Linked DNA regions of Schizosaccharomyces pombe. The protein of the gene in region 2 interacts with the protein of the main gene of each other region in a biochemical or structural test. Each region holds a gene or a part of one and is shown on either strand. Other genes may lie near its edges.

Region 1 (5,109 bases), on a different chromosome or scaffold from region 2:
GTACCGCTTATAGCATAATGTTGATATCGCGAAGAAAATTAAATTTTTAAGAGTAAAGTCAGACTTAGTTTGCAGAATTTCCTCTTTGTATGAATTCATTTGTCATTTATACTTAGAAGTAAAGGGTATTTGATAAGTTGATATCTATATATGGTAATTTTGTGAACGCGTCGAACGCGTCTTAAGTGTACGTATATTACAGTCCCACCTGTGGTTTTCCAACACTTTAAACTACACTAAAATGGCTTACATAGATAAATGGAATGCGAAAAGCATGTTTTACGATGAAGACATTTGGTAGCTTATGAAGTAATGTAAAAGCCTTTTGTTAAATTAAATGTCTTTTTACATTTACAAAGCTAAAATGTTTGTTTTTTTATTTACTATAGTTTGCTAATTATAAAAATATAGTACGCTTTTGGGTAGAATGGACGCTATTTGAAGCTAAGGATTCAAGAAATTCGCTTATCCCTTTGGTAAAAAAATTTTGGCCTCAACAAACGAATTTAACACTAAATAATTTATAAATGTAGAATAGATCATTTAAAAAAATATTATTTTGCATTCTTATTAGATATTTAAAAAAGAAAATTATGAGTAAACATTTAAAAGTCAACAAACAATTAGACAAATATTATATGATAGAGGAGTTTCCAGAATAAATAGCATGAATCTATTTCAGTTTGGAAACGTAAAATAAAATTTCGAGATCTTTTATAGATTTCTAGTATCTCAACTTATAAAAGCTCAAGAAGATTTAGTAGATCCAAACTCTAGGACCTCGATCCAAAAACGGTTATTTCTTAAAACAGCAGCCACACATACATTTTCATTATAAGCAACTTGCCAGATTATATCCAAATCAGTCAATAGGTCTCTTACTAACTTTCCGGAACGAATGTCCCATAACTGTAGCGTACTATGGCTTCCACTGACAACTTTGCTCTCGTCGTGTTGAAAAAATATGTGTCCCAAAGGACATTTTAAAATATCTCGACAACTTCCGGTGTTTAGATCCCAAACTCTCAACGATGTATCAGGAGGAGCAGAAGCGGATACCAAGATATTTTGGTTAAATGTAACTTGACTTACCAAATTCGAATGACCATGAAGGGTCTGTAGAAGTTCTCCAGACTCAAGGTTCCAAATACGAATTTTAGCATCCGTACCAGCGCTGATACATTGTTGACGAGAAGGATTAATTGTGACACTGTATACTCTCCCGACGTGTCCCCGAAGAACATGTAAACAAACGCCAGTAGATGCCTTCCATACTCTAAGAGTACCATCATAACTGGCACTGACAATCAAATCTCCAAGACAAGCAACTTCACGTACCGAGTCCGTATGACCACGTAATGTTCGGATGTAAAACGGATTGGTCGTAGCTGAAGTAAAGTCATTATTCTGATCAGGATTTTCATTTACATTAACAAATGGTGGATCGTCAAGGCATGGAAGACTCCATAAACGGATCGTACAATCCCTTGAACTTGAAATTATATACGGAGGCATTGAATTAGCATCATTTGAAGCTGGTCTGTTTTCTTTTTCCACATCATCAGTATCAGTAGTACTTTGATTGCCTTGAACTATTTTGATACAACGGATTGTTGACGTGTGTCCATAAAACACCTGTTTACATTCACCGGTTCTAAGGTCCCAGACTCTTACTGTCCTGTCTGTGGAGCCAGTAACCAAAGTATCCCCAACGTATTCAAAAGTCCAAACATCACCTTCATGCTCTTCTAAACTGCGTATCAGGACACCTGTTTTCGTGTCATATATATTAATTCTAGGACTGCAGGTGCTAACAATTATTTTGTCATCATCAAACTGAAGTTTGGTAATAAGACGAACTCCATGAATTGGGAATGAACATCGCTTAATTTTCTCCGGGGCATGGAGCCATCTTTCACGAAGATTAAAATGTCTAAAATAGACCCGCTTCATTATCGCACAGGCTGACAAAGATTGTTCTAAACACATCGTACGGATTTTACTATCAATTGAATCCCAAAAGAAACCATCTTTTAAAAAGAGACTTTTCCAAAGTTCTTCGTTGGACGATACCAACTTATACCAGTGATGCGAAACTTGCGAAACTGCACACAATGAAGGTGCATCTAAATGCGTAAGCACTAAATTTGTAATCTCAGCCGGAAATCCAGTTAAAAAGTTCTTTTGAAAGATAGGAAGCAGAATTTTGTGAATATTTTGAACAGCATGTTTTCCACATCGAGAAAGAAGATGAAAAAGTAAGTATTGACGAACACTTTCGGGTAATTTTTCGAAGGAAGAAATTAATTGTGCTAATTTCAAAACAGCATTTTTTTGAGAGCTCAAATGATTAGAAGGATGAATGCTAGGATTTTCTGAAGAAAAATCATATATGACAGGTTCATGCAAAGAATTATGTGAAGATGAAGATGAATGAGGGGGAAAAGATTGACGGGTTTTGGAATCGTTGCCGAGTAAATTAGGAGAAAAATAAGAGTAATTAACAGAATTATTTGGTGCATCAAGTGAGAATGTTGTTTCACTAGCGACTTCCTTACTGTCACAGTTGTTTGGGTAGAAAACGTTCGAGTAGTTAGTAGAAGGAAAAGTTTCATTCTTTTTATTCCCATCACTTTGAGAATTGAAGAGAAACCGCTTATTAGCATGCAAATTAGAGCTGAGACTAGAGTTACGGCGTTTAAGGCACTTTTCGCGATGCTCTGACGGCAGCTCACAACTCAAATGGGGCCGGTTAAGATCACAATGTAGATATAAAAGATTTTGCAAGTTTTCCAAATTTTCTTTATCAGATAAACATCGATTGTTAGTAAATATCATCGATTGCTGACTTCCCTTGCTATCAAATTGTAGACTAACACGACTAAGCTCCTCGGGAATTCTGGTCATTATATTATTTCCTTCCAGGAGATCTTTTTTAGTGGAACATGGAGAAAATCTCTCGACATTTGGCCGGGGAGAAGAGGAAACATCAATACTCGGTGATACCATAGTTGTCTCACCGAAAAATTCATTGGAATCTAAAACAGATAGGCTATCTTTTTTCTTCTCATTCATTTCAAGTAGTTTACAGACACTTAGTAGAAAAGTATTTGTCAAGTTCTTTTATGATGTTAGAGAACCTGGTTCAAGAATCGATACTGATGAATTTACTTAAAACAACTGCCCGTTGGGAAACATGTATATGAAATTATTTTGCAAATAGTTATCGTCTTAATGCATTAGAGCAATACTTTTTCTTGGTTTTTTTGAAGTTCAGCGAGATAGATCGTAAAGACCATAAACTCTTGGCAATGAATTTTAAATTCACTCTACGCAAGCGGAGGTGTAAGTAACACCAGAATAAGTAACAATTTTACTGTTGATTAAGAAAAGTTTTTATAGTTTATGGTAAATACGACTAAATCGCGACATAACAATAGTTCAATAAGAAAAGTTATATGACTTAGTTATGGCTCCTCAATATTATTTTTTTTTACATTATTTGCGATAGTGTTTTAATTGTATACCAGATATTAACCTCCTCAGCATTTTCAAATAAATTCTCTAAAGACAAAAACAATGAACACGTGAAGTATTCATATTATAAAATTGTCTTTTCCGTTGCGTTTTTGCAGCTAAAGAATGCAGACACAATAGTAGCTCGCGAATTTCATTACACGCCAATAAAGTTGGGAAAGAGATTACCCTCCCCTGTCATATTCTAAATGACACGGACACATATAATAATTTATTAATAAAATTTGAGCATGAGCGTAAAATGTAAAATGTCAGACTAAGATGGCGTTTCTAGTACATCATTTTCTTAGGCCGTTGAAAGAAATTTTTTGTCTCGTCAATGACATGCATCGGGTAATTTCGGCAGGCATTGGGCTATTATTCGACTTCTCTCCATTCAAAATTTGACTTAATCTCAGTATCCAAAGAAGCGTCAAATACGCTACCAAGATAAATAATTAAATTGTTATCCGTAAAAGTTCTTAGCATAGCAAACCGATAAACCGAGTGTAAACACGATATTAATTAATTAATATTATATCATATTTAATGAGCTGCAGAACATCATTTGCCGAAATGCACCGAGCCTCTTATATCTAGGATGATTTGTATGTACCAGATTACTTTCCCAAGAGATTATTAAATATATTTAATAGTATTAGGAGAAAATCAATATAACGTTGAGTCGAGCCAACGTATTTGTAAGTTAGGTATACAGGGATGTCATTAGGCTTACGTACACCGCGCAATTCAATTGCAAAAGGCCCAGGGGACCAAGAACTTCCTTATGATAAGAAAGCTAAAGCGATAAACAAAAATTAAATTACTTGGCTTGGAAATAATAATAATTTGCTTTGAAATGAATGATTGAACGCCCCGCGACCCCGGGACAGTATAAATTTTCCTGGGGTAGATCAAATTCACGCATTTAATTGGTTGAATTTATCAACTGACTTTTAAGTTCATTTTTAATTAAGTTATCAGCCAATGAATACAAAGCCGATAGCAAGGCAAGCAATGATTGGAGCGCAATAGTTGACTGTTTTGGCGCTAATTATTTCGGGTTTATGGTTAGAAATTTTCTGAAAAAATCAACGTTGAAAACTTACAGGCTTTCATGGTTAATTAGTGGCAAAACGCCACGGCTCTTAATCAAAAGATGGTGAAGTGCTTGAAAAAAGAAATGTATATAAAGCTGAGCTGATTTTTAGGGAAAAGCCGTGAGCTGAAATTAAACAATCAGAACCGCAAAAGGTAAAGACCATTATATTCTTTACCATCTTTCTTTTATTTTCTAGTATCAAGTTACTAGCATATCCTATCGTTTATAAAGTCAATCGTTAGATTCCTGTCAAATCTTTTAAATCTAAAAATGCTCTTTAACAACTTTCTTTGTTTTGCGGTTTCCGCCATTCCTTTGGTTTCAGCTATGCCTCTTGGTAATGCTCCCTATCACCATCACCATCATGCCGGTTTGAATGCTAGCAATATAACTGTTGGTGTCAATGTCACAAACACTACCGCTTTTTCAAAAAGAGACGGTGGTTTTCCTGACGGCGTATACGACTGCTCCTCTTTTCCTGATGATCAAAA
Region 2 (6,860 bases):
CAATGACGAGGATAGTTCTAATCCTTTGAAATGGGAAGACGCATTTACAGACATGACTTTCTTAGGATTTTTCGGTATCATGGACCCTATTCGGCCAGATGTACCTTTGGCTGTAAAGGTTTGCCAAGGTGCAGGGGTGACTGTTCGTATGGTTACTGGTGATAATATTGTTACTGCTAAGGCTATTGCTTCGCAGTGCGGAATTTACACAGAGGATGGAATATCCATGGAAGGACCGGAATTTCGATCTCTTTCTGATGAGAAACGCTTAGAAATCTTACCCAAATTAGATGTACTTGCACGCTCATCTCCTTTGGACAAACAGTTATTGATTGAAGGACTGCAGAAGCTTGGTAACGTAGTAGCGGTTACAGGTGATGGTACCAATGATGCGCCTGCACTAAAAAAAGCTAACGTCGGCTTTTCAATGGGTAAATCGGGAACCGAAGTTGCCAAGGAGGCGTCCGATATTATCCTTATGGACGACAACTTCTCGTCAATTGTGAAAGCAATTGCTTGGGGAAGAACCGTTAACGACGCTGTAAAAAAATTCCTGCAATTTCAAATTACCGTGAATATTACGGCTGTTTTCTTGACTATTATCTCTGCTGTTGCCTCGACTGACCAAAGCTCTGTTTTAACTGCTGTTCAGCTTTTGTGGGTTAATTTAATTATGGATACACTTGCTGCTCTTGCACTTGCCACTGACCCTCCTACTCCTGAAGTGTTAAAGAGGAAACCTGAGAAACCAGGTGCATCGCTTTTTACTTTTGACATGTGGAAAATGATTATTTGTCAATCTATGTACCAACTTGCTGTTACTTTGGTGCTACACTTTGCTGGTAATAGTATCTTCCATTACCCTTCCAATACTGCGGACATGAATACTATTGTTTTCAATACCTTTGTCTGGCTCCAGCTGTTTAACGAAATTAACAATCGGAGATTGGATAACAAGCTCAATATTTTTGAACGTATTAACCATAACTTCCTCTTTATTGCTATTTTCGTTATTGTTGCTGGTATCCAAGTTATAATTGTTTTTTTCGGAGGTGCCGCATTCTCCGTAAAAAGAATCGATGGTAAAGGATGGGCGATTTCCATCGTGTTTGGTGTTATCTCTATCCCACTTGGAGCCTTGATTCGTTGTGTACCAAACAATTTCCTAAGAAAGGTCCTTCCGGTTAAGACAATTGACACTGTTTTCTCTTGGATTCTAAATCCTAGGTTCCGTTCTAAGCGCCGTTCAACCGATCATGATGTTGAATCCCTTAGTCTTATCCCGTATGAACCCACATCTCCCAACGAAGTTATTGACTCTATTCGTCATTCCCTTGGCTTCGTTCAACGCATTAGAGGAGGAAGGATACGCCACCTACTCAACAACTCCAAATTTGATAAACAGATGGAAGCGCTTCCTGAACGTCTTCGTCCCCGTGTAAAACAGAGATTTATGAAGATCCGTTCACCTTCTGTTTCTTCAGCTACTAGCGTAGCTTTAATGATTCCTATCTCAACACTTGTTAGTGAAGCCAGCGGACGATTAGGTGGGCATGACATTTGGATTTCTCACAATCGCCAAGCTCTCGATAAAAAAAGCTCAAATGTTCATTAATTTAAGACGAATGTATGAGACAGAATAACAGTGATTCTATTATCGAATTTTTCTTTTTTATTTCCTTATTCTCGTTGGAAATCGCCTTCTTTTTCTATATTTGTTATCAATTAAAAGTTTGTTTCTTAGGTTTAAAAATTCCCTTTTTGTATAGAAAACGAGTCAGCTTTACCTTTTTCCTTATGTCTACTTTCTTTGTTTATCTTTATGAGTTACTTGGTTTTTGCCTATTAATGGTTTAGCCAGTTTGTTATATACCGCTTGAGCTTTAAGTTTTATGAATGAATAAAGAAAACTCCATTAATTAGAAACATGTTGTTTAACAGAAATATGAGGAAACAACGTACACGTATTTTGAAATAAAAAATGTAAACGTAACATAAAGTAAGGAATGAAATTATCGAATACTCTAGAATCAACGGAATCATCTAAAAGACAATGTGTGAGGATTAAGCATCAACACGGTTTGTTTAGTAGACTACAAAATTTTCAATTCTAAAACTCTTGGATAAAACTTGGGTATATGGTATATAATTAAGGACTTAGTTATCAAGGAGGAAAGGCTTGATGACATACTTGAAAACAGTCCTTGCATAAAGATGATAAGATTCAAAGAAAGAGAAGAAGAAAAAGAAGCTCTTTAAAAAGTAAATAAGTTATGATAATAAATAATAAAAGAAGAGCTCAACCTCATATTCAACAGAATATTTGCGTAAGAAAATTTATAAGAGCGTTCGTTAGTGACCATCATTTGTTAAAGAAGAAGACGGTTCTGATTGAAGGTCATCATCGTCCGTACGATTGACTGAGTATCGTTGACGGACGAGTTGATGAACAAAAATACTAGCCTTCAGGAACCTTTTTGAGGAGTATTTTTGGAAAAAGGCTTTGTGTTCTAGAGGCTTGTTATGATAATGAAGCATAATATACGCTATCTCCTTTAATTCATGCTCTTCATACCCACCAGAGCTTTCAACTAACTTTGGCGTCCATGGGCCGCGACGCAATAATCGGCGGCTCAAATACATTGCGGCAGCAGCAATTTTAGACATAGGATATCGTAATAAATCGTGGTCAAACAGATAAATTTCTGTTAGGTATTTCCCCAATGTCCTTGTTTGTGCATCATAACCTTCTGCTTGAGATATTTTGCGAAGAAAATTTAAAGGACTTGGATAGGACAAGTCAAAATTGAGAACATTTAACATATAACGTTCAGCGACACAGACATCTTCTACGGTAAAAGCACCATCAGTCATGTAAACAAAGTTTTGTATCGAAGGACACATAACCTCCTCATATTTGCTAGCGATGAGAAGAGCAGTAATGCCTGTTAATTGAAATTTAGACAAAGAGCATGAACGACGCGACAAGAATCGATCAATTATATTGACTGCCAAATAAAGGGTTTCGGGCATTAAACAAAAGTTGGAATGTATTTCCACCAACCATTCATTCAAAATTTCCCTCATTTTCCAGGTTAATTCTTTTTGTTGGTCCATATATTTTGGATTGGGAAGACACTTTAAATCCAGCTTTCTGATGTACTCAAATATTTCGGGTGCGTATTCCTCAGCCATCAAAGGATTGGAGGATAAATGATCATCAACATTAGAGACTCTGTCCTTTTGTAAAGTTTCTACAGATGGATCCGCATTTTTGCTATAAACTTTCAACTTTTTCACGAATTTAGATTCGACAGGTTTATCAGCTTCTTCATTTGTAGATAAATTAGATTCATCGAACGATCTTTTCGCTTTTTTCGTATCCTTCTCATCAGCATTATTTTTACCTACATTGGAAACATCAGATAGGACAGTTCGACGTGGCAGATTAATTTCAAAATTTGTAGATAATTTTGTCTTCTCAGTCCCTTTTGATAAAGCTTGTTTGCCAACAAGTGTGTTTTCATCTTGATAACTATGCTTATTGATTTTAGAACCAACAGGCTTTGAAATTGAATAGAGAGCCATATGAAATATGGATTGATAAATTACCCTTTTATCAACGTATAGAAATATATCTGATTGTTTGTAACCAAAAATGTCTTCTTTTTATTAAAATAAGGAAACTGTTTTTGGTAAATTAATCTCAATTGACAAGATGGATAAATTAGGGAAATTGAGCGATCGAGAAACAGAAAGCACTTATAGCGAATTTTTAAAGTTTCTCTTTTAAATGAGAATAAATCAATGGGTCCGAATTATTCTATTGTTGTTGATAGGAAGAAAGGGAAAGAAATCGTCCAAACATAAACAAATGAATTGTGTAAACAAACCAAACCAACCTACTGTTGTGGATATAAACGAAAAAAAAAAACAAGCAGATGTAATCAAAATTGAGAAAGAAAAAAAAGTAAAGATAAATTTTTTAACGTTCGATTCGAAAATGAATTTACCTCTTTGAGGTATGCAGAATTAACTCTTATAAAGCACAAGAGCGTAGTTTAAAGGGACAATGATTAACGAAGAGAATTAAAAAGAACACTTCTTTGTAATTAGTTTAGAAAAAGCAAAGTTGAAGGTTTGATAAACAAACGATGGATCAGAAAAAGCAGCACTAAGACGAACAATACAAGCAAATAAGTTTGATAGTTCGAATTTAAAAGAATAACAAATGTAGGTGTTATTTTTCCAGCAAGAAAAGCGAGTAAAACCTTTTCAGCTTGAGGGCGAGAGCAATGCTGAAAGGCTAAATAAATTGCAATTGGGAAGACTGTAGGATAGCAATTGTTGCACTAATATCGAAAGGGGACGATTAATTATGTTTTAATAAGATATAGTGTACTTGTTATAAGAGAAATGACTGTCTTTGGCAAGCGCCTCCTGTAAAAGAGTAGGACAATAAGCGAACCAGAACAAAGAAAACAAAGAAACTTAAAACGGTAAAGTACACAATAGAAACCGACACTTAGCAGCTGAAAAGTGTAAAAAATTAATTAAAAGAAAATAAGTACAGTAGAAATAAGATACTCCGGAGTAAAAACTAGCTTGACACTCAAAATACTGAAAGCTTAATTTACTATTGTTTACAGTTAAAACCAGCTCAACCTAGTATATGGAGCCTAAACTGATCCCTATAGCATGTATTTGAAAAAAGAAATTAGAAAGAAGGAATATTCAAAGAGAAAAGAAGAAACGCAAAAAGCAGCGACAACAAGAGAAGGACTTCAAGGTGGATCCAACCTTTGGTAGAGTCTTGTAAAAGGGAAATTACACTTGTACAAGTGCCTTTGAAGCCTTTCTTGTAACTCAACACAAGTCAAAGTGTCAGTGAAAAAGCAAAAGACAGGCATAGCAAGCATATAAAAGAAGTAAACGCGACGCGACGCGAGAAACGCGCTTTCGCGCAAGCTAAGTTGCGTGCACCTCGTTTTGGCGTGTTTTAGAGCGCGCGCTTTGGTGTAGCGTTTTGTATATTACAATTCACTATGCGCGTGCCGTCATTACATGCTACACAAACTAACGCAATTTGAATAGAATTAAAAAGGGAGAGTTCGCTAATACTTTATATCGCAGTTACACTATAATTCGCTATATGCTGAGCTTGGAAGGAATAATGTTGTTTGTCAAGAAACACAAGCATCTGTTAATAAAAGTTTGGTAAACGTCTCGTAACGTCGATAAGCCAGTACTTTATATAATCAAAGAAGAATTTTTAAATCATATCAGATAACCAATCGTAATGCTTTCTGTGAATTACACCTACCAAGACATTGTTCTGTGCAACAACATAAGCAAAATAAAACAGTATTCAGCAATAGCGCTTTAACATTAAATCTAATTTACGACATTTTTTTTAAAAAAAAAGTCAAGGAATAACAATAAGGCATAAATCACGACACTAATTTCCATTCTCTATGTCATTTGGATGGACATGAACATGAACATGATCGCTTTCAAATTGATATTGAGGTTGATCCAAAAAATAACTTCCGATAAAAATTATTTTTTCTTATAGAGCTCTTTTACATTATTTCCAACATTTTGTCATGAAAGGGCATGAACACAAAAAAGAGGAGAAACAGAATTTCAAAGCTTCATTAAAGAATATCAAGCGTACAGCAAAAAGATAATTGAATAACGTCTGATTGATATACATGGCCTGTGGTGTCAAGTTGACCAATAAACTAAAAAATGCACAAGACCGTGGTACGTTGTGCAAATTAATTTGCAATGTGGACTCAATCCTTTTTAGTAGTTTCCTCTTCACTATCCTTTGGCTGTTCAGGGGCCAAAGCATTTATTTCTTTTAGAATTTTGTGAAGCTCTCCTCTACAGACAAATTGTTAATACAGAAATGTTGACAAGGAGAAATAATTAAATATGAGAGAAAAAATGAGGGAGAGAACAATGTGGCATATATAGACGACGAATTAAAGACACTGATACACTAATAGTTGATTTTTATCCAATGCTTTAAAAGGGAAAGTTCATTTGAAGAAAGAGCGAAAATATAACAGGGTTTTTTTATCTTTAATATCAACTAGAGTGATTAAACAGTTGTAGAATCCTCCTTCATCATCTTTAACATTTCCTATGACACCTCCTCAATCCTCACCGTCTCTCTACCAAATAATAAAAATACAGTTTAAAACATTACTTACGATTTATGCATGGACGCCAAGATATCACTACCGCCCACGAATTCTCCGTTAATATAAAGTTGAGGAATCGTAGGCCAGTCGCTGAACTCCTTTATACCTTCACGTAGCTCATCATTACTCAAAACGTTGTACGTAACTAATTTATCGGAAGCAACGTTTTCTAATGAAAGAATTTGAATCGCCTTTAATGAAAATCCACACATTGGGCGGGTAGGTGTACCTTTCATGAATAAAACGATAGGATCCTCTTTGACGGCCTGTTCAAGAGCTTGACGAGTTTGTGTGGACAGCATGCGAAGTTGCATGGATATACTGGTTTTAGGAATCCAAAATCTAAACATCGAATTCATCTTGAATATGGATATTGTAAAGTGTTTATAATAAGGCAATTTTGAGCTTGAATGTCAACTCATTGATTCGCCGCAGATAAAAGTGTAAGAAGCCGTACCACGTTCTATTGCGCTATATAGAATTCTTCCAAGTCTTAAATCAGTATAATATTATAGAAAATCAGTACTTTTAGAAAAGTTTTATAAGAATATTTATTTTATTAGAAAAGTATATCGTGGGATAAAAGACTTAATATTGTACTAATCAGTTTCTGATTTCGAGAAGAACGCAGCTAAATCAAATTCCTTA

What was found.
Region 1: the proteins of cig2 (region 2) and pop1 form a complex in vitro, tested with the Schizosaccharomyces pombe proteins (one study listed by BioGRID).

The regions. Positions count from the first base shown.
Region 1 is NC_003423.3:3,467,309-3,472,417, reverse strand, and holds pop1 (cullin 1 adaptor protein Pop1), read right to left. Parts: upstream 3,291-5,109; 5' UTR 3,076-3,290; coding exon 748-3,075; 3' UTR 533-747; downstream 1-532. Other genes in the region: synaptonemal complex-associated protein hop1, read right to left, coding at 5-99; beta-glucosidase Psu2, read left to right, coding at 4,889-5,109.
Region 2 is NC_003424.3:2,707,808-2,714,667, reverse strand, and holds cig2 (G1/S-specific B-type cyclin Cig2), read right to left. Parts: upstream 4,887-6,860; 5' UTR 3,589-4,886; coding exon 2,353-3,588; 3' UTR 1,616-2,352; downstream 1-1,615. Other genes in the region: P2 type calcium transporting P-type ATPase Pmc1, read left to right, coding at 1-1,615; mitochondrial [2Fe-2S] cluster assembly and transfer glutaredoxin Grx5, read right to left, coding at 5,799-5,889, 6,222-6,571. UniProt on the Schizosaccharomyces pombe protein: Essential for the control of the cell cycle at the G2/M and G1/S (mitosis) transition. Interacts with the cdc2 protein kinase to form MPF. Interaction with res2 promotes the phosphorylation of res1 and inhibits MBF-dependent gene transcription.